Callithrix jacchus: one gene and its partner. The protein of the gene in region 2 purifies or fractionates together with the protein of the main gene of each other region. This does not show direct contact. Links are inferred from orthologs where the notes say so. Each region holds a gene or a part of one and is shown on either strand. Other genes may lie near its edges.

The links.
Region 1: the proteins of MAGED2 (region 2) and NAP1L4 purify together in Homo sapiens (affinity purification with mass spectrometry; 3 studies listed by BioGRID and IntAct, counting the BioPlex papers as one, with this or other methods). This does not show direct contact. The link is inferred for Callithrix jacchus from reciprocal best matches to the Homo sapiens genes MAGED2 and NAP1L4.

Annotation. Positions count from the first base shown.
Region 1 is NC_133511.1:128,874,285-128,877,934, forward strand, and holds part of NAP1L4 (nucleosome assembly protein 1-like 4), read left to right. Parts: intron 1-2,983; coding exon 2,984-3,125; intron 3,126-3,650. UniProt on the Homo sapiens protein: Acts as a histone chaperone in nucleosome assembly.
Region 2 is NC_133524.1:55,099,025-55,102,774, forward strand, and holds the start of MAGED2 (melanoma-associated antigen D2), read left to right. Parts: upstream 1-1,388; 5' UTR 1,389-1,446; intron 1,447-1,577; exon of another isoform or gene 1,578-1,813; intron 1,814-2,024; exon of another isoform or gene 2,025-2,080; intron 2,081-2,949; 5' UTR 2,950-2,982; coding exon 2,983-3,027; intron 3,028-3,345; coding exon 3,346-3,750. UniProt on the Homo sapiens protein: Regulates the expression, localization to the plasma membrane and function of the sodium chloride cotransporters SLC12A1 and SLC12A3, two key components of salt reabsorption in the distal renal tubule.

The sequences.
Region 1 (3,650 bases), on a different chromosome or scaffold from region 2:
GACTGTCTTAAAAAAAAAAAAAGTGGGGTCTTGCTGTATTGCCTACGCTGCTTTTGGATTTGAACTCTTAGGCTCAGTTCGTTCTCCTGCCTCCGCCTCCCAAAATGCTGGCTTGACGGGTGAGCCACCACACCTGGCTGATACCTTTGCTTTCCTACAAGAGGCCTGTGTCCTAGATGCATTGCAATATGAAAATGAGAAGGACGGTGACCCTCAGATGGCTCGTCAGGACCTCCGTCTTCGTTCTGGAAGGAATTTTGGTTTTTGAGTCATAGTCTCACCCTGTTGCCCAGGCTGGAGTGCAGTGGCATGTAATAGCTCATTGTAACCTTGAACTCCTGAGCTCCGGTAATCCTACCTCAGCCTCCAGAGTAGCTGGAACTGTAGGCGTGTACCACCGTGCCTGGCAGTTTTGTTGTTGTTGTTGTTGAAAGGAATGAGCTGTTACTGGGCTTCCATTTATAATTGGGTCAGGGCTTGGTCTCTCCGAGGTCCCACCTTACATACTGGTTTCCCCAATTACGACTACCAGGGCAATTATGACAAGAAGGGGACTTCGTATTTTTTTGAGACAGAGTTTCACTCTGTCACCCAGGCTGGAGTGCAGTGGTGCACTGTCTCAGCTCACTGCAAGTTCTGCCTCCTCGGTTCAGGTGATTCTCCTGCCACAGCTGGAATTACAGGTGTGAGCCACCATGCCCACCTAGCTTCTTTGTATTTAGATGTGCTGAACTCAGGTTTGTTACATAGGTGTACACATGCCGTGGTGATTTGCTGTATGCTTTCTTGTGTTTTTAGTAGAGACGGCGTTTTACCATGTTGGCCAGGTCAGTCAGAGTTTGCTTTGCCCATTTAGAAGCTTTTCAGGGGATTACTTAGTGGGTAAGATTTTTTGATGTTTTTTTTTTTGCAGACTAGATTGATGGGATGGAGTGATACTGAGCGGGAGTGGCAAGAATTGAGAATGAGTAATGGTTTCTGGTTTTCTCGCTTTAAAACTGGGCTAGTGGGGTGGCATTCTGTGAGGAACTGCTTGGGTGGCAACAAGTTTATGTGGGACTAGAAGTGGTTTCGTGTTGGCCGCATTCCAGGAAAAGTGCAGGGACCTGGGTGTAGTTGATATGAATGATTGGGGGACTGCTGGGGCACGCCAGGGTCCAGTTTGTTTAACATGCTTTGTCATTTTACTTCAGTTGGAAAGTTTCGAAAATTAAACTAATTTAAAATCGTATAATTAGCCAGACATGGTAGCTAACACCTGTAATCCTAGCACTTTGGGAGGCCAAAGCGGGCAGATTGCCTGAGCCCAGGAGTTTGAGACCAGCCTGGGCAATGTGGCCAAACCCCATCTCTACAAAAATGCAAAAAAAATTAACTGGCCTGGTTGTGTGCCCCTGTAATCCATCTACTCGGGATGCTGAGGTGGGAGGATCATTTGAGCCCAGAAAGTTGAGGCTACAGTGAGCCGAAACTGTACCACTGCACTGCAGCCTGGGCAGCAGAGTGCCCTGTCACAGTGAACAAATGATCAGAGCAGAAGAGAGGCACAAATGCCAGTGAGAGTCCAGTTCTTCATGCTTTTCCCTCGTTTTCACCTACCAGCAGTAGTTCCAGAGTGTTAAACATTATTTGAGAGTCAGTGCTTAAATTAAGGACCTTAGCTGTGGTTCTGTTTAACCCCGGAGACTGGTCCTTTGGGATGCAACGCAGTTGTTCTAGTAACTGCCAGCCCAGTGATACCTGTGTGAGAACTGCCTATTGTTCTGTGCAGTGTGATGTTGGAGGGTAAGTCATGCGCTTAGACTTAGGACTCTGATCATGTGAATGAGTATTCAAGATGCAGGACCCAGGGCCTTGCCCCAGGGTAGATTATTTGGGTCTGTGATGAGGCCAGGAATCTGTTCTTCAGTCCGCATGATTGTGACACATAGTTCTGATGGGTTAAAAACAGGGATTTCTCTTCTGACTTATAGAAGTTATACATACAAACTAAAATATTTTTTAAAACATGGAAAAGGATTGAAAGACAGACTCATCGTTGGCCTGACTCTAAGACAAACTTGTGTTATCTATGGTCTGTGTTTCTCCAGTGTGCCAAGTGGATCCCACGTGGCACTGAATATTCTTGGACAGTGCGGTGATGCATAGGCTGTATTTGAACTTGCATCGTGTAGTTTTCAGTTTTACGGATCTATCGATGGACACTCCAGCATGAATACTTGATTAGGATAAATTTTTTTTCCCTCTTTTGGTAAGATAGAGTCTTGCTCTGTTGCCCAGGCTGGAGTGCAGTAGTGCAGTCATAGCTTCCTGCTGCCTTGACCTCCCAGACTCAAGTGATCCTGCTGCATCAGCCTCCCGAGTAGCTGGGACTACAGGTCAGCTGCACACCATCATGCCTGGCTATTTTAGGAAGTTTTTGGTAGAGAGGGGTCTTGCTCTATTGCTCGGGCTGCTCTTGGAGTCCTGCCCTCAAGCAAAATCCTCCCACCTTGGCCTCCCAAAGTGGTGGTATCACAGGCATCAGCCACTGCGTCCCGCCTGAAGGATAAATTCTTAAAGGTAGAATTACTGGGTCCAAAGAACATTTTCAGTATTTCTGCCCTTAAGAAAGATGAATCAGTTAGAGGGCTTCTTAGCCCTTAGCCTCATAAAACCTAGGTGTTTTGTTTTGGTATTAATTGCCAATTTGGTAAGGAATAGATGAGTGCTTTTAAATGTTTACATTGTTTCGGATATTTTATGAGATTGAACCTGTCTTCGTGTTGGACAATTTGTGTTTATTCTTTCATGAATTGTCTTTTCTGCATCCTCCTGTACCCTTTTTTACTGTTGGGATGTTCAACCTTAATGATTTTTAAGAGGTCTTGTTCATGGTAAGGGTGTTAGTTCTGCCAACCTGAATTTATTTTAATAGAATTGAAAAGCATGCTTCCTTACTTTGCAGGCATGAGGATGTTGTCTTTCTTATTCCCTTTTTTAGTTTACCTAAAGCAGTAAAAAGAAGAATTAATGCATTGAAACAACTTCAGGTGAGGTGTGCTCATATAGAAGCCAAGTTCTATGAAGAAGTTCATGACTTGGAAAGAAAGTATGCAGCATTATACCAGCCTCTCTTTGACAAGGTAGGGGCTCTGTTAATGAGGTTAATATGCAGACGGTGTTATGTTCTGATAAACCCAGTATAAGTTGACAACATCTAGGGCAAAAAGGCATCTCACCTACCGGATGTAGCTTAGTCTGGACTACCTTAAACGAGCCCAGAACACTTTGACCTTCCACAAACCTGTTTTATAATAAAGTGCTGAGTATCTCGTGTCCTTTACTGAACACTCCACCGAGAGTAGAACACAGTGTGGCTCTGTGGGTGCCCGAAGTTTGGTAGCTTCTGCACCATTGTGAAGTTGAAAGTCTTTAGTCGAAGCATTGGAAGTTGGGGAGCATCTTTATTTTAGATCTTTAGGTGAAACATCCAGAGTTACCCAGGGAAACATTGAGTATTTTTCTTTGAACGCTAAGATTTAGAATCTTAAAATATTTGTAAAAATAAGCAGTTTTCAAAGTCGTTTTATAGACATTATTTATACATTTAACTCTTGAGTTTCCAAATAAGCTAATAACATAATCCTAATAAGGCCTCATTTTTATGT
Region 2 (3,750 bases):
AAGACTCATGACCATTTGAATTACATTTGGATGTGGAAAGGTATTGAATATTATTTCTGCAACTAACCATTGTGCTGAATTTTACAATGGTTTCTAATAACTTTTTAGTTGATGCTCTTGGGTTTTCCAGGTCTGCAGTTATATAGTCAGTAATTAAGGATGATTTGTCTACTTCCTATTATTTCACATCTTATTTTGTTCTCTTGAATAGATCCAATTGCTTATGTAAATTTATTATGTGGATCGGTAAGATCAGGTCCTTATGGCAGGTTTTCTCCAGATCCCAGAGGATGGGGCCTACCCCTAGTGGGGCTCTCATGGATAGAGAGCCATTTCAAAGGCTCTCCCAATGGGTAGAGGTGCCATCTCAAAGCAGAGAGGGAAAAGATGGATTAGTTTGCACATGATGTAGGGGTAAGAGACTATGATTTTGGGGAGTAATCAAGCTGCATCCGTATAGAAAATAAATTTTGAAATGATCAAACATCTAAACGTAAATAATAAAGCTGTAAAAGTGTTTGAAAAAAAATGGGGATTGTTATAGGAGTGTGAAAAGCATCTTTAAGCAAGCAGCAGAAGCCAGTTGTGATAAAGGAAAAACAGATATATTTGACTACATAATAATTAAACATTTTTGTTTGGCAAAAGTTATCATAAAATGACATGAAAAATATTTCTAATATGTAACACGTACACAAGAGACATTGTTGGTGGGAATGTTATTCCATGTACTTTTTAGGAATAAATTGAGACATTTTGTGTCAAAATGGAAGACTTTTTTGTAGCATTTGAGCTAGCAAAAAAATACCATAAATAACAACAAAAAAAGTGCCCCAAATGTATATGTGTATTGGACTGGTTCAATAAATTATGGGACATCTATACAAGAAAAGATCATGCAGCTGTTTAGAAAAATGTGCACTAATGGAAAGATCTATAACTGGAAAAAATATGTACAGTGGACCGTCTGTTGGAGAGAGAACCTGAATAATAAGTATATGAACAGAAAAAGTCTGCATAGCAAAATGTTAATAGTGGTTATTTCTGGGAGATAAGAGTGGCCTTTCATAGGTATGTTACACATTTCTGCACTGTTTGAATTTTTACAACAACAACAACAAAACAACAACATATTACCTTTGTAATACGAAAATATGAAGATATAAAAATAAATACATTCAATGAATGACTTGCTTTCAGGGGGCGGTTTGGGTTGGAAGAGCTTCAGACTGAGCCTGGTACAGTGGCATAAACATGGGCTTTGGCGTCAGACAGCCCTGAGCGGGGCCTCACTGCCCCACCCCCGAGGAAGGCGAGGGGGGGTGGCAGGGGGCTGCGGAAAGGGGCTGGGCTGGGTTGGGCTGTCTGCAGCTCTAGTCCAGGAGGCTGAGACTTCGAGAGGGACTGAGAGAAGGCAGACGCATCCCGAACTCGCTGGAGGACAAGGTGAGGGGCGTTGAGATCGGGGTTTTACGGCGGTCAGTTAATGGTTCCAGACCTCTCGAACCCATAGCCGGGCAGATGAGCAATTCTTACTGCACCACTGCAGCTGAAGCAGAGGTGACCTGGAGTGGGGTGTAGGCAATGAGGACGACTGAGAAAGTAGTAGGCTGCACAGACTGGGAGCAGAGACTAGCGGAGGAGGAGGGGAGAAAAACGGGGAACCGGGAATGTTGGGAGGGGGATGAGGAATGCAAACGGGGAGGAGAACACTGAGCGGGAGTGAAGATCCTGAGAAGAGTTAATCAGGGATGCAGAGAGGGGTTAAGGAATACTGAGGGGCAGGATGTGCAAACGTCACACGGAGGAGGATGTAAGGAATGGGAAGAGGGAATTCTGTGGAGTAAATAGGAAATGTTAAGTGGGAGTAGGGAGTAGGGAGCGAGGCTAAGGGAATACGGAGGGGGGCAAAAGGAATGAGGAGCAGGGAGCGGGGGAGGGGCAGACAGCCTGGGACGGAGGCCCCCTAGGGAGGCGGAAAGGGGCGGGACCACTTCCGGCCTAGAGCGGGGAGGGCAGTCTCCGAGTTTCGGAGGGGCTTGGAGTGAGTGGACGCACTCGGGAATCGTAGGAGGACGAGGTGAGCAGCCGGGTCGTCTTTTGGATGAGAGCCCCGCTAGGGGTCGGCCCCACCCTCTGGGATTTGGAGAAAACCTGCCATAAGGACCGGATCGTACCGGATCCATCCGGCTGAGAAGGGAGGGGACTGGACCCGGCTTGGCCGGGCCCAAGATGGAATCGCTAGCTCAATATTTATTTGAGGAAGGGGTGTAATAGGGAAGGAGCGGAACCAAGATGCGCCTGTTTGGAGGGGGGCGTGTTAGGAAGAAGGGCGGGGCCAAGAGACACGACTTGGTAGAGCGTGAGTAGGGGAGGGGCCGGGACCACCAAACACTGCGACAATTTTGGAGGAAGGCTTGTTGGGGAGGGGGCGGGACCGATTGGTACTGCGGACCCGGAGAGGGGCGTGTGTTGGGGTAGAGTGCCAGGCTGAGACCACGACCATCGCGCATGCGCAGTATGTATCGCTAGAAAGGGGCGTGTTGAGTAGGGCCAGCCCTGAGACGAGCCAGCTGCTGAATGCGCATGTGCACGGTGGACATCAAAGAAAGGGCTCGTGCGAAAGCGGGCGGGGCTGAGATCGGCCCCGCAGCCGACGCGCATGCGCTCTATCGACCTGCAGCTGGGTGGGGGGTGCACTGGGAAAAGGGGCGGGGTCCTCAGAGCTGCCGCGCTGGCACATCTTCCTGGAGAAAGGGGAGGGTGCGGCTGCAGAGAATTGAGACTTAGACGCTTTGGATTCCTGTATCTGACTGAGAACAGAGTCATTGGGGGTGGTGGAGGGGGTTGGAATTGGGGACCTACGGAGGGTGAGGATCAGCCTCCAGGCACAACAGGGGAGAGGACGTTCAGTGGGCTTCAATTTGACCCAGGCCTTCTCCCCTTCAGGCTCAGCTCTTTCTTGCCAGGCCAAATTGAGACATGTCTGACACAAGCGAGAGTGGTGCGGGTGTAACTCGCTTCCAGGTAAGGCCTCTTTCTGTCCTTTTCCCAACTGTTTTCCTCTCCAGCCCTTGTTGCCACCCTCCCATCCTTGTCTTTCTCCACCTACTTTACTGCCTGGGTGTCCCCCTGCCCAGTGGAGGGAGGGTGAGAAGGTGGGCGGGCCCCTTTTCTGCCATCAGTTTTTGCTCAGAGGAAAGGGAGGCCTTGTTGGGTTGAGGTGGTCAGAGCACACCGGTAGGAGTCAGTACAGGTCAGAGAAGTGTGGCCTTAGAATTTTGGGCCATTTGCTTAGTTGGGGGTGGGAAGAAGATCCGTGAACTTCCCTGCTTCCTCTTGCAGGCTGAAGCTTCAGAAAAGGACAGTAGCTTGACGATGCAGACTCAATTGACAGTGACCCAGAATGTGGAGGCCCCAGAGACACCGAAGGCCTCAAAGGCACCAGAGGTCTCAGAGGATGTGAAGGTCTCAAAAGCCTCTGGGGTCACAAAGGCCACAGAGGTCTCAAAGACCCCAGAGGCTCAGGAGGCACCTGCCACCCAGGCCTCATCTACTACTCAGCTGACTGATACCCCGGTTCTGGCAGCTGAAAACAAGAGTCCAGCAGCTGACACCAAGAAGCAGAATGCTGACCCACAGGCTGTGACAATGCCTGCCACTGACACCAAAAAGGCCAGCTGTGTGGCTGATACGAAGGTCAATGCAAAGGCCCAGGAGACTGAGGCTGCTGCCTCTCAGGCCCCAGCA